Linked DNA regions of Anolis sagrei. The protein of the gene in region 2 binds, or shares a complex with, the protein of the main gene of each other region. Links are inferred from orthologs where the notes say so. Each region holds a gene or a part of one and is shown on either strand. Other genes may lie near its edges. The genes, in order: EDA and EDAR.

Region 1 (12,682 bases), on a different chromosome or scaffold from region 2:
TCCAAATAGATGGCCTTCCAACTCACATAATAGTAATGGAAGGGTCCCCTAAAGGCCCCCCAGTCCACCCTCCTTGATGGGGAAACCCGCCAGAAGGCCAAGCCCAGGCTCCAAACGGAATGGGTTTCAGTCCTGGGCGAAGGGAAAGGGAGCCAACCCCAGCGGCCTTGCAAGGGACTGACACCGGAGCCGGAGCCGAAGCCAACCTGAGTCAGAGGGATGGAAAAACACACACTTGTCTCATTCTGCCTTCGTCAGGTTGGGCTCGGAGGCGTTGTTTTTTCCTCTCCGCATTGTTTATAGACGATTTGGAAACACAAAACAGCTGGCAAGAAGTCAGCCTGATTCCAGAGTTGATTCCCTGGATGGCGTCCACCAGCCCCGAGGCAGGAGAGGCTGCCAAGGAGGAACCAGTGAACTTCTCTCCTCCGCTCGCTCCTTCCTTCGCTCCTTCGCTCCCTTCCCCATCTTTCCCTGGGAAGAGCCGCCTGCCTGCAAAGGGCACGCTGACCCTGCCAGGTGGGACAAGGGGTGCCTGCATCCTCCGCCTCCAGCCCCACTCCAGGCCATGGGTCCCCAAAGGGAGGGGGGGCGTCAAGAAGGGTCTCCGGCCAAGAGGGAGGTCAGCAGGAGGAAGGTGGCCCCAAAATAACCCTTTAAGGAGCCCCATTCATCAAGGAAGGGAAAGGAAGGAAAGGGAGGGAGGAAAAGGAAAGAAAGAAGCAAGCTAGCAAGCAAGCAAAAGAAGGAAGGCAGGAAGGAAGGAGAGGGGGAATGGGAAGAAAAGAAGGGAGGGAGGGGGGAAAAGGAAGGAAACAAGCAAGCAAAGGAAGGAAGGAAGGAAGGGGAAGGAAGGAAAAGGAGGAAGGGAGGGAGGAAAAGGAAAGAAAGAAGCAAGCCAGCAAGCATGCGAAGGAAGGAAGGAAAGAAAGAGAGAAAAAATGGGAAGGGAGGGAAGGAAGAAAAGGAAGGAAACAAACCATCGAAGGAGGGAAAGAAGGGAAAGGGAGGAAGGGAGGGAGGAAAAGGAAATAATGAAGCAAGCTAGCAAGCTAGCAAGCAAAGCAAGGAAGGAAGGAAGGAAGGAGAGGAGGAACGGGAAGAAAGGAAGGGAGGGAGGGATGGAGGAAAAGGAAGGAAACAAGCAAGCAAAGGAAGGAAGGGAAAGGAAGGGAAAGGAGGAATGGAGGGAGGAAAAGGAAAGAAAGAAGCAAGTTATCCAGCAAGCAAAGGAAGGAAGGAATGAAGGAAGGAGAGGAGGAATGGGAAGGAAGGAAGCAAAGAGGGAAGGAAGGAAACACGCAAGCAAAGGAAGGGAGGAAAGCAAGGGAGGAAAGAAGGAAGGAAAAGGCATGGAGGAGGGAAGGGAGGGAAGGAAGGAAGGCAAGAGAGAGAGAGGAGGAATGGGTTGGAAAGAAAAGGGTGAAGGAAGGGGAAGGAAAGAAAAGGAGGACTGGGAATCAAGGGAAAGGATGGATGGAGGGAGGAAGCAATGGAAGGAAGGAAGGAAGGAAGGAAGGAAGGAAGGAAGGAAGGAAGGAAGGAAGGAAGGAAGGAAATGTGGCAGCGCCTTTCAGCCAAAGCAGTTCTTATTTTGGTGGACATAAACACGAGTGCTCTGCAAGAGGATTGAAGGAAACAGAACGGACACCCCAAGTGGCCAATCCCCCCCAGCCGGTTGCAGAACAGGCCCACCTCCTGCACGTGAGCCCAGAAATCCCAAAGGGAAAGTAAACAGAGCCACCGTGGAATGGGAGTGTGTTCCCAAACTCAAACGCATGGGCAGAGGCATGGCCAAGGACGAGGCCACCATCATTCTGTGTGCTTGACCAGGCCTGAAGGGGGGCTTGGGCCCCAGGGAACTGACCCAACGGCCCATGAAGGAAGGCCTGAAGGGCAGCCATCTCCTTGCACAGCCCTTTGGAAAAGTCCTCCTGGTCAGTCGTAAGGCCGAACAGGGCATAGGGTTACAGCCTGTGCTGGACGGGGTTCCACTCCCCCTGAAAACGCAGGTTCGCAGCTTGGGAGTGATCCTGGACTCATCACTGAGCCTGGAAACCCAGGTCTCAGCGGTGGCCGGGAGAGCTTTTGCGCAATTAAAACTTGTGCACCAGTTGCGCCCGTACCTTGGGAAGTCTGATCTGGCCACGGTGGTCCACGCTCTTGTTACATCCTGAATAGACTACTGCAATGCGCTCTACGTGGGGTTGCCCTTGAAGATTGTTCAGAAACTTCAACTAGTCCAGCGAGCGGCAGCCAGATTGCTCACTGGAGCGACATACAGGGAGCATACCACCCCTCTGCTGTGCCAGCTCCACTGGCTGCCGATTCAGTTCCGAGCACAATTCAAGGTGCTGGTTTTGACCTACAAAACCCTGTACGGTTCTGGTCCAGTGTATCTGTCCGAACATATCTCCCTCTACGTCCCACCCTGGAGTCTGCGATCATCTGGGGAGGTCCTGCTCTCGACCCCACCACTGTCACAAGTGAGGCTGGTGGGGACGAGGAGCAGGGCTTTCTCAGTGGTAGCCCCTCACCTGTGGAACTCACTCCCAGGGGAAATCAGGGCATCATCATCCCTCCTCGCCTTCAGGAGAAGGGTGAAGACGTGGTTATGGGACCAGGCCTTTGGGCACTCCGGCAATTAAATCAGACAACCAGGCGAGTAAGACCAGCAGGATTGATGAAGTGGAACGGAAAACTAGATCTATGAGTAGCAAACGCTGACCATGTAAGAGGACAAACTGGGTTTGTATTTGGTTTTATTGATTTTATGGTTATAATGTATATTTGGTGTTAACTGTGTATTGATGTAATTTTGTGTTTGATTGTTTTTATGATGCAGGCATCAAATTGTGCCTTGCTTTTGTAAGCCGCCCTGAGTCCCCTTCGGGGTGAGAAGGGCGGGGTAAAAGAACCCCAAATAAATAAATAAAAAATAGGGCCGGGCCCACGGGACACATCCCTCCGGCCCCTACGGCACCCACGGCGCATGCCCTCCGAGGTGCTTTTATGGAATGCATGTAAACTGCGCTGTGCCCAGCCTCGGGCCAAAAAGAGAGAGGCCGGTAAGGAATGACAATAATAACAATAATGAAAATAATAATAACAGTACATGTCATTGGGGACCTTGAGACAAAAAGAGAGGTGGGTAAGGAATAACAATGATAATAATAATAGTATTAATAATGCATGTTGTGCCCTGCTTCGAGCCAAAAGGAGGGGTGGGAAATAAATAAATAAATAAAGAATGAATGAATGAATAAATAATATATAAATAATAAACCCTCAATACCATATTTACTGGAATCTTCTGCCATGGCACAGGATGAATCATATGAATGAATAACAAATATAATAGTAATAATAATAAAAACAATGGCGACTAAGGAAGGAGCTTCCACCATTATTACTATTATTATTATTATTATTATTACTACTGTTATACTGTATTTTTATGGATTAATATGCTCCATTCTATGTCATGGCAGATCCCCCCTCCCATCATCATCATCATGTTTCTTTATATAGCTAATTATTATATATTAATATAATTCATTGAATCCTAGAGTTGGAAGAGACCTGGTGGGCCATCCTCCAGTCCAACCTCCTTCTGCCAAGAAGCAGGAATATTGCATTCAAAGCACCCCTGACAGATGGCCATCCAGCCTCTGCTTAAAAGCTTCCAAAGAAGGAAAGAGCCTCCACCACACTCCACGGCAGAGAGTTCCACTGCTGAACGGCTCTCCCAGTCAGGAAGTTCTTCCTCAGGTTCAGGTGGAATCTCCTCTCTTGTAGTTTGGAGCCTTTGCTCCATTGCGTCCTAGTCTCCAAGGAAAGGAAGCAGAAAGGAAGCTTGCTCCCTCCTCCTCCCTAGGACGTATTCCCCTCACATAGTTATACCTGGCCGTGATATCTCATGGCAGCTCCCCCTCCCATTATTATTATTACATATTAATATGAATTATGATTGTTATTCTTATTATATATTAATATGATCCATCATGTCATGGCAGCTCCCCCCTCCCATTATTATTATTATTGTTATTGTATATTAAGATGAATATGATTTATCATATGTCATCGTAGTCCCCCTCCCCATCATCATCACCATTATTATTATATATTAATATGATTCATCATATGTTATGGTAGCTCCCCTTCCCATCATTATTATTATTATTATTATTATTATTATATATTAATAAGATTCATTAGATGTCATGGTAGATCCCCCTCCCATTATTATTATTATTATTATTATTATTATTATTATTATTCTATGCTAATCCTATTCATGATATCCCATGGCAGCTCCCCCTTCTTCTTCTTCTATGTTAACACAGACAGGATGCCCCTTAGTAACAGGTGCAAGCCCAGATGGGTCACGTCCCCCCCCGCCCCCCTTACCTGCCGCTGGTGGTGGTGGGCGGGGGGCGTGCCTTGCGGGGGGCGTGGCGGCCCTGCCTGGGCCCCGCCCCCGGCCCCTCCTGCTGCTGCTGTTGCTGGTGTGGGGAGCTGGGCGTGGTGCTGGTGGTGCTGGTGTTGCGTGTGTGCGCCCCCTGGGGGGGTGTCCCGGCGGCGCAGGATCTCTGAGCGGAGTTCGAGGTAGCATCCGAGGGTGAGGAGGTGCAGCGAGAGCGAGAGCGCCAGGAACGCCCCCAGCGCCCGCCACACCCACGCCGAGCACGCCAGAGCCGGAGCAGCGGGAGCGGGGGGGAGAGGCGGCTCCGAGCCCATGGCGGCGCTACGACGCCCGCATCCTCCTGCCTGCCTGCCTGCCTGCCTGCCTTCCTTCCTTCCTTCCTGCCCGCCTGCTCGCCCGCCCGCCCGCCTGCCTTCTGGCCTGGAAGCCGCCCGCGCCAGGAGGAAGCCCCAGGGGGCGGAGCCCGGGAGGGGGCGGGGCCAAGCGGAGAGAAGGAGGGAGGGAGCGCCGACTCGCGCTCTCCCCGCTCCAGGCCACGCCCCCCTCGCAGGCAGGCAGGCAGGCAGGCTCCGGAAACAGGGAGACCCTCAGGGGGCGGGGCCAAGGGAGGGAGGGAGGGAGGGCCGCCCCCTTCGCAGGCCCCGCCCCCTTGCCGCTAGGAGAGACCCCTTCAGGGGGCGGGGCCAAGACAGGAGCACGGGCGGAGGGCGGGGCTTCAGCAGGGAGACCCTCAGGGGCGGGGCCAAGGGAGAGAGGGCCGCCCCCTTCTCAGGCCCCGCCCCCTCGCAGCACGGAGAGAGACCCTCAGGGGGCGGCGCCAGGCCAGGAGCGGAGGGCGGGGCTTCAGCCGGGAGACCCCTCAGGGGGCGGGGCCAAGGGAGGGAGGGAGGGAGGGCCGCCCCCTCGCTGGCTTTCCCCGCCCTCGGCTCCGTCTCCTCTCAACGCCCCCCAGGGGGAGGGGCCAAGCCAGGAGGAGGAGGCGGGGCTTCTGGAGGGAAGGCGTGGCTTCGGGAAGGAGCCAGTAGGGAGAGCCCCTCAGGGGGCGGGGCCAAGGGAGAGAGGGCCGCCCCCTTCTCAGGCCCCGCCCCCTCGCAGCACGGAGAGAGCCCCTTAGGGGGCGGGGCCAAGACAAGAGGGCGCGGCTTCGGGAAGGAGCCCGCAGAGAGACCCTTAGGGGGCGGGCCAAGGGGAAACCCGCCCCCTCGCTGGCTCCGCCTCCTCTCAAGGCCCCCCCAGGGGGAGGCGGGGCTTCTCCCTGCTCGCTCGCCCCGCCCCCTTCGCAGCCCAAGAGGGCTGGCTGCCCGGAAGTCCCGCCTTCCTTCCCGGGAGATGTGCGGAAGGCAGTCTCAGGAAGGAGCTGGCCAAGGTGCTGACGGGGGGAGGGGAGGGCGACCCCGTGGGTGAGCCAGGAAGGCAGGGCAGGCATGCCATTGGGAGCCCCCCAGGAGGGAGAGAGAACAGCCATAGAGACCCACACTGGGAGTAAATGAGGAGTATGACAAGGACTATTAATTATTCATCTAATAATAATAATAATAATGGAATAGAGGATATCTCCGATCCCATGGTCTGTTTTCCGAGCTGGGCGGCCTTTGGGGAGGGGGGGCCCTCCGGCGGATTTCCTAATCTCCTGCCCCCCCCGGCCCCCCTCGCCCCCCCCCCGCCTGGAAGCCCTTCCGGCGAGGTCACGAGGCCTGGCCCCGCCCTCTCGAGACAAAAGGGGGCGGAGCCGCTCCTCTAAGGAAGGCGAGGCGAGGGCGCCACCTGGCGGGCGCCGAGGGGAAGGGCAGGCAGGGAGGGGGCCTGCTATGGGAGAGGCATCAACAACATCTCAACATGGGAACTTGTGGGTTGTGGTAGGTTTTTCCGGGCTAGATGGCCACGTTCTGGAGGCAGTTTTTCTCCTGACGTTTCGCCTGCATCTATGGCAAGCACCCTCAGAGGTAGTGAGGTCTGAGGATGCTTGCCACAGATGCAGGCGAAACGTCAGGAGAAAAGTTGCCTCCAGAACATGGCCATCTAGCCCGGAAAAACCTACCACAACCCCTCAGTGATTCCGGCCATGAAAGCCTTTGACAATACATTGGAACTGGTGCCACAAAGATCCGGGTGGGATCGCCAGCCTGCCTAGAGTCACAGGAAACGAACACGTCAGACCACTCTGGGACTTCCGGATTCAGGCTGAGTGAGCACACGACTCCTGACCTCACAACTGTGGGGAAAAACCAAGTGTGCCTGGGTCATGGATTTGCCAATCCCAGGCGATCAACGAGAAGCAACTGGAAAAGCTGACACGATGCGAGGATTGAAAGATCGAGCTGCAAAGCCAATCGTGGGGGTGTCGTCGAGGGCATCCCTGACCCCTGCCTTCAAGCTGATCTGACCAGCCGCAGGGGGTTCCACAGTTCCTGGATGCCCAGTTGGGCTGAAACTGATGAAACTGGTGCCCCCGCAAGAGCAGCCTCAACCGGGGACTCTTTGCCGCCCTGTGCTCTTTCCTCTCACTCCTTTTCCCAGCCCAAACTAGGTAACAAATCCCTCAATAAAGATTAAATGAATTGTAACCCTAACCTCTCCAGAATGATACTTTGTGTCCCTTTCCTGGTTCAAACTGACTTGGACATTAAGATCGTCCAGGGAGGCCCTGCTCTCGGTCCCGCCTGCGTCACAGGCGCGTCTGGTGGGGACGAGGGACAGGGCCTTCTCGGTGGTGGCCCCTCAGCTATGGAATGCCTTACCTGTAGACATCAGACAGGCCCCTTCGTTGTTGGCGTTTCGGAGGAAGGTTAAGACTTGGCTTTATGAGCAAGCGTTTGGCTAAACAGTGCAACTGAACACAGAAAGACGGTAAAATTGAACATAGGAATGGCACAAGGATTATGAGAACGGATCTGATTTCATTGAGGCGTTATGACATGATTTGATAGTTGTTGTTGATTTTGTTTGTTGTATATGATGTGTTTTAATTGCCTATGACATTGTTTGATAACCTGTATTGTGTAAACCGCATTGAGTCGCCTGACTGGGCTGAAAAATGTGGTATAGAAATAAAGCAAATAAATAAATAAATGCATGAAACAACCTTTTCTGGGCTGCGGGAGACCGCAGGCCTGCCTGGGATGCCTTCCTGGCGTCCCAGGGAGGCTGAATCTGCTTTCCTTCAAACCGCGGATACAGAAACCCTTCGGGGCCCCATATCCGCAAGTTGACGGATCGACTCCATTTTGATGCCATATCTTTCCTAGCTAAATTCTAACCCTATCTGCCATCTCGCTTTTTTGCATTTTGGGCCCCTAGGCTCAGGGAATAACCTTTGGTTTATCAAGAATATTTTTTAAAAGGAGAACAGTCAAAATCCAAGCCTCATCATCAGGCTTCAGCCCTTGGAAGGAGCTATAGTTTTCCAAGGACCAAGGACCAGCTTCGACCTCAGCACTGCAGGACTCCATCTTTTGGCTCAGTGGAAGTCACCAGACTCCTTTTTGTGACTTGGACTTTCTGTCATATACTTTTGGACTTCATTTAAAAAAAAAACCTTTTTCACCCATGAATTTTTCCAAAATGAACTATGAACTCAAACTGTGCTGTGATTAAAATTGCTCTGTTTGGGGGGGGGGGGGATGCCTGGATATGATTTTTCATCAAGATTACTAGATTTCTATATTTCCCTTCATGTATCTGACCTTGCCCTGACCCTTTTACCCCCTTTCCCCTTTCCTTGAGGGAAGTTGCCCTGTCTCTGAAAAGCAATTAGCGATCATGAAAGTACCCTTATCTTAGGACATTTCTTGCGTGGACAATAACAAAGGAATATCTTTCTTGACTTCGGAGTAGGGCCATCAAGAGGATTTCCGCTTGGCAGACTTTTTAATCATATAATAATGGGGGAAAGATGACCTTCGTAAAGCCCTTTCCCTCCCAACCCGTTTTTCTTTCAAATCTCTCCACTAAAGACATTCACCAAAGTCTTCCCCTTTGTGCTCTATCTGATCGCAAGCGGAAAAGCCGGATTAAGTGATCAATGCTTATTGCAGACCCATCTCAAGACAATAAAGTTGGTTTTTCTGGCAGGCAGGTTCCAGACTCGTTAAGCCTCCAGGTTATTAAACTCCATAATCCACTCAAGAATGCATTGTATCTCTTTGTCTCGCCTCCCTCCCTTCTGATTCACTGGAGTGTCGAGGTGGGGGAGCCTCCTGATTGGCTCAGGCGCACCGCGGAAGCCCTATGATTGGCCCAGGCGCACAGAGAACGGCCAAGCTGTTAGCGCGCCAGCCAATCACCATCGGGAATTTTGAAACTCACAACTCTGTATTTTCTATAAAAATGGCATTTATTTCTGTAACCACATGCTCTGCTTGACGAATGATCGCGGCTTTGCATCCTTTTCAGCTGAATCACTAATAAACATCTCGGTGGTGCTTCTTCAACCTTGGTGAGATTCTGTTTGGGAACCTAGGGAAATAAAAATTGCTTAAAATCAGGCTTCTCTTTGCTCACCAATGTAGTGATCCCTCTTTGGTGAGGCCACAGGGTCTCTCCTCCTGGGGCAGACCCTCCTGAAGTTCCTATCGACTTCAGGGGTCCCGGAGGTGATGGGCACACTGGGTGCAGTGCCTCAAGACCTTGGCCTGCACTTAAATGTAAGTACGATTACATTTAAGATAATGTAAGATTCTCCCTGACCACATTTTGCACAAAATGTCCTTAGAAGCACTTTATTTTTGGTTTGTGCAATGAAATCCTTCCTCATTCCCGGAGCCTCCTCCATATAATTTACAATGTCCTATCTCCCAATGTTTTTTTAAAAAAATTAAAAATTGTATCCGTGAATCTGGCCCTGCCTTGTGAAATTTTCCTTAATTCTTGATTTTATATTGTTTGCGTCATATATTGTTTTGATTTTGCATTTTATGTATTTTGCTTGGTTCTATGTTTTTATGTTATTTTGACCTCATGTAAGCCGCACTGAGTCCCCTTGAGGGAGATGGAGCGAGGTATAAATAAAGTTTTATTATTATTATTATTATTATTATTATTATTAAAAACAATTGGCGCTGACCAAATCCCCACCTGTCAGCTGCAAAAGGCCTCTCTACTGGAATCTGCACGCATTACACGCCAATACATCACACAATCCTAGACACTTGGGAAGGACATGTGATCCAATACAACAGCTAGCAGAGCGATCTTATTATTATTATTATTGGATGCACAACAAGATTAGTACACAGCAATCATATGGGATACAGGAGCCACTTTGAGTCTCCTTCTGGAGAGAAGGATAAGTAAATAAATAAACATAATAAACATAATAATGGTAATAATAAACATAAACTAATAATAATATGGATCGTGAGAAGTCCTATGGCATATAGCAACTTTGAGTCACCATGTTTAACATTTACATGAAGCCGCTGGGAGAGATCATCCGGAGTTTTGGGGTGCAATGTCATCTGTACGCAGATGATGTCCAACTCTATCACTCATTTCCACCTGCCACTAAGGAGGCTGTTCAGGTCCTGAACCGGTGCTTGGCCGCTGTCTCGGACTGGATGAGGGACAGCAGATTGAAACTAAATCCAGACAAGACAGAGGTCCTCCTGGTCAGTCGTAAGACCGAACAGGGTATGGGGTGACTGCCTGTGCTGGACGGGGTCACACTCCCCCTGAAAGCTCAGGCACGCAGTCTGGGAGTTCTCCTGGGTTCATCGCTGAGCCTGGAACCCCAGGTCTCAGCGGTGGTCAGGGGAGCTTTCGCACAATTAAAACTTGTGCGCCAGCTGCGTCCGTACCTTGGGAGGGCTGACTTGTCCACAGTAGTACATGCTTTGGTTACATCCCGCTTAGATTACTGTAACGCTCTCTACGTGGGGTTGCCTTTGAAGACTGCCCGGAAGCTGCAGCAAGTCCAACGCGCGGCAGCCAGATTACTAACGGTGGTTGGATACAGGGAGCACACCACTCCGCTGTTACGCCAGCTCCACTGGCTGCCAATTAGCTTCCGAGCACAATTCAAAGTGCTGGTGTTGACCTATAAAGCCCTAAACGACTCCGGCCCTGTTTCCCTCTCTGAACGTATTCTCCCCTACAAACCATCAAGATTACTAAGATCATCTGGAGAGGCCCTGCTCTCGGTCCCACCAGCCTCGCAAGCGCGGCTGGTGGGGACGAGGGACAGGGCCTTCTCAGTGGTGGCCCCACAACTCTGGAACTCTCTCCCTCTAGAGGCCAGAACCGCCCCATCCATCCTAACATTTAGGAAACGGGTGAAGACGTGGCTGTGGAGTCAGGCCTTCGAGGAATGAGCCAACACCATAGGACTCTGGATGGAAGTGGATATAGATCCATCTTATTAGGACGACTGACCACTGTAGTTTTATATTTAGTGTTTTTAAAGTTGTTTTGTAATTTGTGATATATGATATTTTAATGAGTGTATATGTTTTTATGGCTGTAAACCGGGCTGAGTCCCTCAACGAGGTTGAGAAGCTCGGTATACAAATCTGTGAAATAATAAATAATAATAATGTTGAAGGAATAAACAGGGTATAAACACAATAATAATAATAATAATGTACAGAAAGAAGTCATCTGGGATATAGCAACCGCTGTGAGTCTCCTTGTGGGGAGAAAAGTGATGTATAAACATAAGACATCATAATGGATGAGGGACCCAGTCCCTTGGAAACAGCCCCTGTGAGACACAAACTGAACGCGAGGCACAATTGTGACGCAACAGCGCAAAAGGCCAATGCGGTTCTGGGCTGCGTTCCTAGGGACGTCAGTGCCCGGATGGAGGGAAGTCCTTCTCGGAGGAGAAATAACCGACCGCGCGGGGGCTTCTCACCGTCAATTCTCAACACTTGGTTTTATTTCTTTACTGGGTTAAACAAGGAGCAGAGGGAAAACCCTGGTCCGAAATACAACAGAAACCGAAAAAGCATTACAGGTACAGAGACTATTGAAACACAGAAGAGTAGTAGGATAATAAGTTTTAATACAACTGAATTATAGCATGGGTTTGCTGTCGTTGTTGTCCTCATTGTTAAGTGTGTTGTCAAACCATCTTGGGGGGGGGGAGGGGAGGGGGGAATCCAATGTCGTCGGAAGGGACTACTAGTGCAAAAAAGTCCTAAACATGAAGCACAGTGTATAAAATGGCATTAAGAAAAAGGCCTCTCCCTTCCCTTCGAAAGGACACAGAGTGGAAGGGAGGGGGAGAGGAAAGGGGAAGAGGGAGGAAGGAAGGAAGGAAGGAAGGAAGGAAGGAAGGAAGGAAAGAGGAGGAGGAGGAGTGAAACTGGGGTGAGGGGGGAAGAAGACTTGAAAGCGCAACCCGGCCCCAAAGAGCCTTCTGCATTGGCCTGTTTCGCACCTCTGTCTCCCTCAGTTTGACCTCCGAGTCGCTTTAGAGAATCCCGGAGAGACTTCCTAGGATGAGAGTCACCAAAACCCTGCAAGACTACTCCATCCGCAGTGAGATGGGCCTTCCCCTGACACTGAATGGGCACTTAGAAATGCAAATAGCAGCGAGAAGGGACTGGGAAGAGGCCGGGGGGAGAGTCTCGACTCTTCGGGGTGAGGAAAAGGGACTGGGAAGTGGCCAGAGGGATCTTCCCCACTCTTCGGGGCTCCTGACGAAACTCTGCTAGGAAATCCCAAATAAATCTGCAAAGGCTGAACCCAGGGCTGATTTTTTGCAGAACTGTCTGTGAAGATAACCATTCACATTCCTCCCGGAGAATGCAGCCCTTGGCCCAGAGATGGGGGGGAGGGGGGGCATCAGTTGAATGGCCAAAGTGGGCAGAGATGGTGGTCAGTTCCCTGTAGAGTCACACATGATAATAATCATAAAAGCAGCCCAATAAAAGGAAGGAAGGAAGCAAGGAAGGAAGCCTGGCCGCCCTCCCCCCTGCCTGGTGCACTTCCTTGCCCTGCCCCTTGCCTTGGCCCCGCCCACTTGTAGTCACAGGTGACAAAAGCAGCTTGATAAAAAGAAGGCCACGCCCCCTGTCGTGGCTCCTCCCACCTGTCTTGGCCCCTCCCCTTCACAGTTGCAGGTGACATTCCAAGCCGACCAATAAAAGCAAGGAAGGAAGCCCTTGCCATGGCCCCGCCCCCTTTGTGGTTGCCCCACCTCTCTTGCCTTGGCCCCTCCCACTTGTAGTCACAGGTGACAAAAACCGCAAGAAGGCCACGCCCCCTGTCGTGACTCCTCCCACCTGTCTTGGCCCCTCCCCTTCACAAAGTTGC
Region 2 (12,107 bases):
CAAGGACCCAACCTGTGTGTTTCTCTGAACACCGCACCTCAGCCCCAAGCAACGTTTTAGTGTTGTGCTGAGGTAGTAGTTTAAAGCGCAAATTAGAGTTGATAATAGTATCATCTTGCACAATTCAGTTATACTGGATAATACTTTAGAGAACAACTTCTCCATGGATGATGGCACACCTCTCTTTCCTCAGGGAAGGGGAAGCGATAGTATGCGTGTGCAGTGCAACCAGCCAAATCTGGCACACAATTGTTACATCTCTCTAGTTTTCTCTTTGCCTTCTCAGCCAGGAACATGTCACAGATGGAGTCATCATCCATGGCTATGAATAGCTGTTGCAACTGTACCATTAATGTAGAAAACAGCTGTAAGTCGAGCACAAGGTTTGTGGGGTTTTAAAGCAAGCGAAAATGAGGTGACAGAATATGGCAATGTCTGTAAAATGCAACAGCATCAGTACTTTCTCTTCCTACAAGTCTATAAAGATGCCGCTCTGTGGAGTCCATAACCAGAAACCAATTTCCTCTCTGCTCTCCATATACACAAACACACTGAATGCTTCAAGATGGTGAACTATCAGAATGAAACTGCGCGTATACATTGAAAGAACTAGCAAAGCAACAAGACATTTTGATTTACTCAGCCAAGTAAACTCTAATACACTGAAGTCAGTGTCAACTCTGTTGTAAAACTATATTTTAAATATTCCTGCTTGGATCAAATTCAAAGCCTGTCTTGTCTGCTGCTCTTATTTGACCCCTTACATTTGGTTACCAGGCCCTTCTACTATAGTTACCATTTCCAAAATAACTGCTGACTGCATACAAAAAAAAATCAATTTTATGCCATAATTCTGGAATAAACCCACAAGGCATTGATATCTCACATCCCCAACCTTTGCGTTTGGCAGGCAGGTTACCATATATTTTGTATACACCATCAGAGACACAGCTATCTGTACTTGTATCCCATCTCCAAAAGGGCCCACCCACACCCAGAGGTATCAGCTAAACACAAAGAGATCATGGCGTAATAAAAGATCCTCTTTCATCACTTTGACATTCTCCAACACAGTCCCTTAGGCCTTCATTTAATAGAATAGTACAGGATCCTATATCACTTCCAGATTTCGACAGGATTATTGCCATGGCAGTTGAAGTGGAGTATAGTGCTATAAGAGTGTAATGTGACAAGGCTCTTTCTCTTTCTTGGCTGTTGCACTTCATCCATTCTGGCCACTATGGGATGGATGCATTTCTTTTCCAAGGCGCTTCAACATGTTATCTACCTTGAAGAGTACAGAACTGAACTGGGAAATACAACAGGATGTAGTCTACAGAAAAAGGCTCTTATGTGGTGGCGGTAGTGATTGTTGTGTACATAATTATTGCCACTGAAGAATTATGATGCTTGCGGCTCTATCTCTAAACTAATCTTGTTGGTGCATTTATTTTGGGATGATATTGTGGGAATAACAATTGGTCTGAAGAACATAAAGCTCTGGTACAAAGCAGAACTTCAAAGGCTTATAGTTTGAGAATACAACTCTCCACAGGGATCACCATGGGAGAGGACACACTGCAGAATTACAGCAGTTTGATAACACCTTTAACTTTCATGGTTCATTGCTATAGAATTTTGTACCAGAGCTCTGTGACAGGGAAGGTTAGATACCTCAGAAAACCACAAATCCCAGAATTCTCTAACAGTGAACTGTAGCAATTATGGTAGGGGCTATAATTCTTCAATGTGGCTATATCCTAGCTTCAACACTGAATTGTGAGCATCCACTTATCATAACATGGTGCTGGTGTAAAGCAAATATCTCAAAGTACCTTGAGAGGGTTTTCTTGCACCAGAGCTTGGAGAAGTTAGTATTTGAGACTACAGTTCCTAGAATCCCCTATCCCCAGTGCCACTGATAGCATTGCTTGGCAAATTTCAAGGTTTTGTTTTGCATGAATAGCCAATGTTCTCCAGATCAACTACTATCCCTGTGACACTGAGTGAAAAATACTAGAGATCCATCTAGTCCACATACTGAATGTCTCTCTGCACTTCTTTTATATGCTGACAAGGAATGTGATAGAAGCAGTAACCCTCATATAGTTAGCTCCTTGCATTTGGGCACACTAGGCTATACTACATATTAGTTCTTAAGTGGCTTACTTTTCCTTTAAAAAACAATTTCTATGAATGCATTTTGATGCCAAGCAGATATAACAGTGTATCCTATGAGTACACTCTGCTGCAAGTGAAATTTAATTGAATCCATAAAATTAAAGTGCTTGTCATGACCCAAACATAGTGAACACTGTTATGCTCCGCTAATCCCATCAGTTTAAATTGCTGGTGTCCCAAGAAAGAGTGTTTTCTATGTTGTTAAAACCTGTTCCATATGTTGCTTGAACTTGGTGCTCGGGAACAGAATGCAATGTACATCTTGGTCATGGTGATTTAAAATCTATCAATACTATGCACAGTAATCCAAATGAATGATTTTCTTCTCATTTTCATCCCCACTTCAAAATATTTGAGTAAGTGAAGCAGTTGTGGGTATACTCAAACTGTTACAGAGGTCAAAATATTGGAGAACCTGTTGGTCTCTATGTGATTGAGACTTCAGCCATGATAGCAGGAGATGCCAATGACAAGGCTCTATAGGAGACATCTGAAGAGCAAATGATCTCCCATCTCTGATTTACAGCATACTGTTGATGTGATTTAGTTGATATACATTTTTTATATGTTCAACATCTTGCTAGTGGAGATCTTCTAGGTTTGATCATTGTTGGCATAGGCCATTTTGGTATCCTTCAAAGAGGTTCATTTGAGGGAATGGTTCCGCTATATGATACAGTATATCTAATCCATTGCTGTGCTTCATTATGAATCTTCCCCCCTTCAGGGTGCAAGTCTTCCGCTACTGTGAGGTAACGCTTGAATAATTTGACTCTAGGCCCTAGAAGAACACACATCTTGCTGGAAGCCACTGGGATGAAAGCTCCTGTGTGCTTAAGGAGGTAACCTTAATCCGCGGAAGTCTGTAAGCATTTGGCAATGACTTCAGTGAATCTGGCCATTCTGAAGTTGCGAATTATGCCCTCCAGAGCAAACACACACTTCTGCAAGCATCAACACAAAAGATTTGCTCACTGTTGCTAGATATGCCAGCATATACTTGTATCTTGAAAAAATCATTAAGAGTATATGGCATTTTAACGATATGGCACATTGGCAAATTCTTGCCTCAATCTAAGGACGCCAGCAAAAAGCTAATGAATTTTATTTCCAACAAATGTATTGATGCTGTAGGCAAAAATAATAAAACATTATTTCAGTTCTCTGAAACTAAAAAACGTGAAATGCTAAATATAAACAAGTAATATGTTTTGTAGCTATATTTAACTTTTTTCTCTCTCTGCAGCTAAGTGCAGATGGATTTACCCAAAGGTTAAGATAAATGAATCAGCTCTGACAGCAATATCTGAAAGAAGTTGCCCTTGAAAATACATCTTGGTTCTGTATTCACAACCTGTCATTCACATCATATACCTTCTTTACTATTAACAGTTCCTTGAAAAGCTCATGAAATTCCACTATTTCACCTCCCTGAGAAAAACACCATCAATGTTTAGTGATAACCCTTCTTCAATTATCTTGAGCAGAGTATATAACTGATAACAAAGCAACAAGGTTGTTACAATTCACCAACATAAGGACTTTTTGAAGGATCAACGTTAAGTAGCAAATGCATTTCTCCAGTGTTGTTCTCTCAAACTATCCTTATACTGTGTGGAACAGAGTTTGGAAACATGACAGTAACAATCTGAATGCCACAAACCAGCATGGTGTTATCTGAAGGGAAGAATTTTCAGAGGACATCTTTCCCTGCTGTTCAATCTCAATGAATTTAAAAATGGCTCATTAAAAGATCCTCATGTTGGGTTTATGTAAGTGACTGTCCAACTGCCCAGACAAACTAGCACAATTATGAAAAAGAACCAGGAAGCTCCTATGTTGATGCCTTCTTCTAGATGGTTTTAGGGAGTCTGAAATATCATCCACTATTTCTCTTCTAAGGCTAGAAATAGGGCTATTAATACCTTTGCCCATGATTCTTGCATACAACCACAACTTGTATGAATAAAAATCCTTTCCTCTTTTCCCTCTTTGTTCCCCCTTCTCTCTCTCTCTCTCTCTCTCTCTGCATTTTTCCTGTAGACATACTGATGATGAGTTCAAGGAAGTGGAAAGGTCCATTAGATGGAGGTTCCGCCTCAACAAAGTTTGGGCAACACTGAGTTACCACCATCTATCACACTCTTTCTCACATTCTCTCTCATTCTATCACCTATCAAAATGATAATACATATTTTATACAGTTTTTTTTTCCATTTGTAAAGCTGGAGACAGAAAAAATGAGAGATCTATCAATACTTGCCAATGCTACCTTTTCAATTGTCTCAATTGCTATATTATGTTGAAAAGCAGCTTTTTGCACACACCATGCAGAATCTTACCCCATTTAAGTCATTTCCAAATGAATTGAGATTTTCATAGGACATGAGTAGGGCTTGAGCAATAAGCCCATGAACATAACTTTCACTAATACCTCCATATTAAAATGTCATTTCTTCCTTTGGCAAAATGTTATACAGTATCATTAAGGAAGAATGTTTAATGTGATGATACAAAAGCCTTATTTAAGAGCGAAAAAATCTAAAGACTGAATTGCAGGTCAGAGTGCATCAGTTTGTTTCCACATAAACCCTTCATTTAAGGTCATGTTGTCTGCTTATTGAACAACTGAAAATACACTGGTTACATCATAACATATTACAATATACGAAGCTGCCAATATGACTTCATGCAGTAATACCTACAAGCCAAAATAGGATATCACATTTCTTTCAGGTTATTGTGCCACAAATAAATACCAGTTTTCAAAAGCCATTTTCTTTTACCACTATGAGATTATTTACCTTTGGCTAAAATGCTTATATCAGCATATAATTGTATCCATGTCTAAGATGTAAGACAATAGGGCTTACTCCTCATCATATGATGAATCTACATGGCTGTATAATGTCGTCTGGAACATAATGCAGTTCCAACCAAAGATGCAAGAGTGAAACTTAAACTATGACATCTCTAGAAAAATATCAATTTTATTGTAAAACTATAAAATTAATAAAAGTCTTACCATTGCTTCTCTCTCATCCTTATACTGTTCCATCACAACAGGCAAATAACTCTAAAGTTAAGTAGGTGTTTTCAGACCCTATTTCATTTTAGCATTTGATACTAAGAAGGCGGAGCAGTTCTCTATCTTGGAAAGGTGTGCAAGATGAGAAGAGATAAATCAACTTTTTAATTTGTCTTCTGAAAGGAAACCTGCCGAGTTCAAAAGCCTCAGAGTCTAACCCACGGTTAGACAACTGATTCTGTGCAACTTTAGAACATGCTGAAAGGCCTGGAGGCTTGTAGCATTTTACCTAACATTCTGGTTACATCTAATTACCAATTTTGCATATTTTTATTTAACACCCTGAGTGCCAAGACATAGGCAATGGGCACAGAGGTCTTTGCTTATGTCATTTGTATTTGAAAATTATTAACTTTCATGGGGAAAAGCACAAATTAAAGCCTCAATAATCATCAAATAGGTTTAGGAATGGTGTCTTCCATCTGGGATTTTAAATGGGACAGGAAACAGCAACAAGATAAAACCAGAAGAACGCTACAGAGCTATGTTAAATCCAAGGACGTGCCTTGTCACTCGTACAAGACTCCTCTGGATCCATGTCAATGGATTTTTAACACATTACATGTGGAGTCAATATGGTAGACCAAGGGATTTATTCACCAAATTGTTCTCTTTAGAAGCAGCTCATGAAACGTGTGTTTGGCATGCAGAAAGCCCCTGGTGTTTGCAGGTAGGGCTGAAAAAGGACCCTCTCTCCAAATTCATAGTGAGCCCTTTACTAGTTAGTCTTGGTTATCTAACTTAAAATAAAACTGTTTCCTGCTACAATGTGTGAAACTTACTTTTTTAAAATTACCAAACACAAAATTCTCCAAGCAGCTACACTGGCTGCAGGATTCTGAGATCTGTAGTCCAAAGATTAAGCGCTGGTTAGGGCATGCTTGTTTTAACTACCTGGAAAAACCCTTTTCTCCCACAAATTAGAAGAAAGACATACATATCATGAGCTTCCATTTGCAAGCAATTAAAATAATTACAATGCTTCTTATCTAGACATGGAAAGTAATTCTCTGAAAGACAATATTCTGTACTGGGGTGCTGCTCTCAGAAAATGCATGGTCCTATCCTAAAACTTGTTGAACTAAACAGTAACTTGGTTTACAATTGGGGATTACTAAAAAAAATAATTAAAAAGTGCAGTGATCAAAACTAGCAATAGCTCTCCTTATCCCATACAGCATTCATCACACATAGGTACCCTACTGACAATGAGATAGATGGAAGAGTATACTTCATACCACAGCAGTTTGTAGCATCCCAGTGTTAGAAAAAGTAACTGCTTCAGTTGTTTTTATTAAATGTAAAAGTACAGGTGGTTTCTAAAAATTAACTGCAATTTAGCAGTTCTTGCACCTATCACTGTAACTCAGGCATAAGTCTAAAATACCTGGAGGGCCGAAGTTTTTCCATGCCTACTGTAACTCACTTCAAATGCTATTCCATGTAAGCATTCTGGCACAAAGTTGGCATTCTGGCACACTGAACAAGTATGCCAGAATCCTAACTTTCTAAATTTTGGAAGAAATTTGCAACTAATGCAATCCAGTCTAAAAACAATACCCGATAACATAGCATAGCAGCTAAAACTTGGACCATCCTTACAAAGGATTGGCAAGACTTTATTAGATAAGTTGCATCAATATTTAATCATGCTTAGAACAACCAGTCGAAATCAATGACATGGATTAGTTATGACTATTGTTTTCAATAGTAATACTCCAAGAATGTCCCCTCCAAGGCTCCTGGCATCCTTTTGAAATGCCAGGAGCTCTGCAGGAATCTCATGCCTCTGTTCAGATGCTTTGAAAGTAAGCTATACCCCTGCCAGAAATGTGAAGTTTTGGCCCCCATCCGGCTACAAATCTGAGTGAAATTGGCATTTTAAATGAATTTAGGCCAGAGTTAAAAAAATCCATTGTTCTCAGCTCCACCTGGTTGAGGATGGTAGCTACCTTGCTATCTGGGCTGAACTGCAAAATCAACTAAACATCCAGTTACCAATGGTTCCAGCTCCAAACTTCAATGGGAAGATGATAATGATCATTTATCTACTGCTATGATTCCTGCAAGAAATATTGCACTAAAGTTCTTTTATTCTGGAAGACACTTGAGAACTGACAAATGTTAGAATAGTTTTTAGCTGATATTTTGTAAGAATTGTAATGTTTAATCTCCTCACCATTCCCCAGACAGTCATACGTTATTGTTTTATTGTCTGAGAAACATATGCTGGCTGCCTAAGAGGCACCTCTATCCAATTCTCACCTTTTGTGGTCAGAGATGGTTAAGACTGGTCTACTCAAGGCATGTCGAACTCATTTTCATTGAGGGACGCATCACTTCATGGTTGTCTTCAAAGGACAGTTGAATCCATGGATGGAGAATCCATGTATAAAGGTGCTCTTTAGTTTTTACCCAGTTGGGATCCTCAGATGTTAGTGAATGACAAGCCCCATCACTTTTGATCATCCACCATGTGAACTGGGGATAATGGAAATTACAACCCAACAGCACTGGCGGCTCTGAGGTTGGGGAAAATTTAAAGGAAATTGTAAAGTCAGACATCATAACCACAAGCTTTGATTTAAATTCAAAGCCCATTATCCTGACTAAACCAAACAAACGGCAGCCTTCCAGATGTTACTGTATGACAACACTCATCCGCTTTAGTCATGGCATCTAATAATAAAGGATCCAGCAGTTGTAGTCCAGCATCCAGAGAGCCACATAAAATGACGCAGCAAGCCGGATTTGGCCTGCAGACTTTTGAATTTGACAAATGTGGTCTAACTTTTTAAACATGCTCAGAAGGGGATGTAAAAACTTCGATCCTTACACCTCTGTCTGATCTTGTACTACAATATCCACCTTAAAAATATATCAATGTTCCACTATTATTGTTTGTAGAGCTCAAGCCCTCAGGCAGAAACAAACATCCTACATTGCACATCTTCAAAGCCTTCATTTAAAGTTTTCATTGCTTTTAATCTCCCACCCCCCGTATCTATAGGTGAATAAGCCTACAATGATCCTGCTACAGATGGCTTCCTGTTCTTGCTGCCAAATGTGGAACAGCTATAAAACTTGAAAAGAGCTGGAGGTTGTCACTTCATGAAAAATTACACTTTAAGGGGAAAATTAAATATGAGCCTCATCCTTTAATTGCTTAACTTTCATCTTGTTTCAGAAATGGACTTCTTTACCCTAAACCTTGCCTCAAAGCTTCCGCTAACATCACCTGAAGGGCAAAATATAGCTATGCATTTCAGTCAGGTCTATGTTCTCAAACAGCAGCAGCAACAACAGCAAAATAATAATTACCTATTTCCATTTGAAATTGTACCAAAATGACACTGAAGAAGTGACGTTCCTTTGGCTCAACTTCACAAAGATGTGTAACATCCCAAGTAGGGAAGATATCTTTATTTTTGGTGGAGGGCAAGATATAGATAATTTTAAGAAAAATAAATAATAATAGAAGGTGAGTAAAACAGTAAGGGAAACATTTAGTCCTTTATGCTGCTGAATTGCCTTTTGAGTTCAGTGGGGTTTGATTAATCTTACATACAAACATACTGACACTATGAAGACTACGATTTCGTGCATAAAATTACACAGTCTTATGCATCCTTATCTTTTTGGACTACAACCCGCATGGTCACGGCCATGTTGTCTGTTGAGAATTGAAGTCCAAAAAAGTAATTTTTAAAATTATTGTAAGTCATTTTAATTCCATCTTGGGAGAAAGATAGGATATAAATTAATTAAATAAATAGGACCAGCCCTGCATAGAAAAAAAAGAACAACACTACATAATTACCACAACAAAGATCAGGTGGAGAAACATTACAGATATCAAACAATGCTTTCTCCATCTGCAGCATAGTAATTCTCTAAGCTTTTGAAGTCGAAGTCATATTCTATCAATTTTGATGCTGCCAGTCTCCCAATCAGTTGGCTAAGTGTTGCCTGTCATTACTAAATAATGATAAACTAGAATGGCAACTTGATGCCAGTCTTCCCATTCCCCATCTGATGGCGTCACACCCTATCTGAGCATCAAATGAAATTAGGAAATGAAATGGAGAGAACAGAATTGTTGAGGGAAGTTCTCAAAACTTCATTTCCCTCCTCTGGCAGGGAGAACGATGACATCCATTTAGGAGCTTCTGAGGAGAGCTTTCTTTCTTCATGTAGTTTCCCCCATTCTACGCCCTATTGGCACAGTAAGATACACAGGGAGACCCTAGTTTTTGAAAAGTGTTCATTATGCTCAACCCTTCAGGCTACACATAATGCCAGGGTAGGGGCAGAGAGGTGATTTATTATTAATGATAAGAATCCTTTGCAGGTGAGATCTTTTGTTTTGTTTTCTCACATTTAATGATTTATTTATCTTAAGCAATCTTAAATAGCTGTTTTGGAATTATGCAAGTCGTACATCCCTCTGGCTCTCAATAATCTCCCTAAAGCTATTAGCATCATGATAGGTGTTCACCACAAGAGCTACTTTTGTAAAACACTCATTATATTAGTCAAGAAAAATATTGATTAAAAAACATTTAGCATGGCCCCCTTAAAGAGTTACAGAGGCAAAAAATGCGTGCCTAAACTCATAAGAGGTACCCACTCCAATATACAGAATGAAAAATAATGAAACCATAATCAGTGGTTTAGGTCCTTAAGAAGATGCAGTTAGTTGCAGAACTTTAACTAACAAAGCACCGCTATGAGCATGCCCCCCACCCCCCCAAGGAGGAGAAACAAAAGCCTGTTAAATTTTTAATGAAACTTATGTTCTTAAATGCAGATGCTAGGGTTAATATGATGAAGATCACACCTGCCATGCAAAGACTATAATGTGTGCAAGGAAAACATTAAATTAAATTCAAAATATGTGAAATATATGCAAACCTAGACCATGATGTAGTGAGTTAGTTTTCAGTCTGCATCAGTCATGAACTTTCCAAATGAAAAACAAAGTCTGAGAGAAAGGTAGGCTCTAGGATTTGGAAATCTCTCAAGCTCTGGGAGGCTTGAGCTATTGCTTCTCTCCCTGCCTTTGGCTGAGCTAATGAATTACTTTTGTATTCTCATGAATATTCTGATTACTAGTTGATAAACGTGATCTTGATAATTAATTGTAAAAATGCACAACTAGTAAAGGGTTATGATTATATGGCAGCCACTTCTGTGGATAAAAGTTCTCTTCTACTGGCAGAGGCCTCTTCTGACATTTGGTCTTAGGCACCTGGTTACAGAGTGATCTGTCTAAACAAATTCAGAATTACTGTTGTCTTCAGCTGCTGTTGTTGCTATTATTATTATTCCTCTCCTCCAAGGCATAACTTAAACATCTCTCTACTCCCTCCCTTTTTCTGCCTTTGCTCTCAGCTTACTACAGTTGCTGCAAACTTAATTCAAAGTCCTCCAGTCCAGGGGAACACCCTCAAGTTAGGTAAGGCAAAAAATAATAATTCTAAATGATCCATAGATTGGGTGGCGTTTGGATTCAGCACAGCTCCAGTTAGCTTAGCTCATCCAGCTCTCTGCAATCTTGGCTAATTAGGGCTGCACTTTAAGTTCACAACCACTGTTTAGTCATTATTTTGATACCATTGTCATGATTCTAATTCATCCCCACAACCTGCTTTTTGGACATCAGCTTCAAGAGGAAAAGTAAATCTGTTCTGCCAACGATCAGAGCACAGTTGAATGATCTTTCCATCAGTTTTGGAGGGGTTGTGACTAGAAATGGAAAGTCCTGAAAAAAACCTGAAAAATTTGGAGGGGGCAAAAATGGAAAAATTGGGGGTGGGGGAAACAGAAAAAAAAAACCCTGTGCCCCCCCCCCCCAATTTTTCCCCAGGCCTTCTCATCTCTAGTTCTCACTGAAGAAGTTATTTAGTTCAGGATGATATGGTGATACAGGAGCCTGATTGGTTTAACAGCTTACTCTCGCATACAGTGGAATCTCAACTTAAGAGCACCCCACCTTAAGAGCATTTTACGAGCAATTGCTTGGCCCGGGTTTCACTTTAACATACGAGCAGCATTTTGAGTTAAGAGCTAGCTCCCTCTTAATCAAAAACGCTCTTAAGGTGGGATGCTCTTAAGTTGAGGTTCCACTCTATGTAAAAAAACAAACATAAATATATAAGGAAGGAAATAAGTCTTCCATCAGACTGAGTCTGGAGAAAGAATACGCCAGACCAGATTACATTAAAAAATATTGTGGGAACTTTAGTCAAACACAAACCAAAACTAATATAATCAAAAGTGTATTGTTGATATTAAGTTGTACAAATCAACATTACAAGGTAGCTGGGATTCATCTAAAGCACTTCTACTTACAACACAACCTAATAATTTCAATGCAGCTTGAAAATATCTAGGAAAACATAAATCCATAGACCAGCATATTATCTAGGGGTAAAAAAGCTAAAATTATGTAGACCAACAAGATCATTCCAAGGAAAAATGTCATAAATCAGAATCAGAAATTATGTAAAAGATGGAGCTCTGGGGAGCTAGCCATGTCAAAAAGAATATATATCTAGAATCTATGCCAAAATAGGGTTTATATTTGTATGTATGTTTTTAAAATCATGCCTTTCAATAGGCTCCACAGAGCGCAGCCACTAATATTGGCATATATAATATCTTTATTGTTGTTCAGTATATCCCAGATGTTGTTATTTGTATCCAAGTATCAAATCTCAGAATCCCAATTCTACTGAAAATACAGAACACAAATAGTATGATCTGAGTACAACTGCAGTCTTGTGTGATTCTAGTATATATTTTAATCTATTAAAAGTAGACATGTGGAGACTCA

The links.
Region 1: the proteins of EDAR (region 2) and EDA are in contact, whole or in part, in a crystal structure (PDB 7X9G), measured with the Homo sapiens proteins. The link is inferred for Anolis sagrei from reciprocal best matches to the Homo sapiens genes EDAR and EDA. Residues at the interface, in NP_071731.1 of Homo sapiens: Glu55, Pro56, Tyr57, Leu58, Lys78, Ile86, Arg88, Arg89, His90, Asp92, Glu94, Gly95, Phe97, Val134; in NP_001390.1 of Homo sapiens: Gln256, Ser258, Ala259, Gln261, Asp265, Asp273, Arg289, Tyr310, Tyr311, Lys340, Thr341, Tyr343, Ser370.

Annotation. Positions count from the first base shown.
Region 1 is NC_090030.1:171,353-184,034, forward strand, and holds the start of EDA (ectodysplasin-A), read right to left. Parts: upstream 4,804-12,682; 5' UTR 4,741-4,803; coding exon 4,411-4,740; intron 1-4,410. UniProt on the Homo sapiens protein: Cytokine which is involved in epithelial-mesenchymal signaling during morphogenesis of ectodermal organs. Functions as a ligand activating the DEATH-domain containing receptors EDAR and EDA2R. May also play a role in cell adhesion.
Region 2 is NC_090023.1:107,389,874-107,401,980, forward strand, and holds the start of EDAR (tumor necrosis factor receptor superfamily member EDAR), read right to left. Parts: upstream 5,405-12,107; 5' UTR 5,240-5,404; coding exon 5,207-5,239; intron 1-5,206. UniProt on the Homo sapiens protein: Receptor for EDA isoform A1, but not for EDA isoform A2. Mediates the activation of NF-kappa-B and JNK. May promote caspase-independent cell death.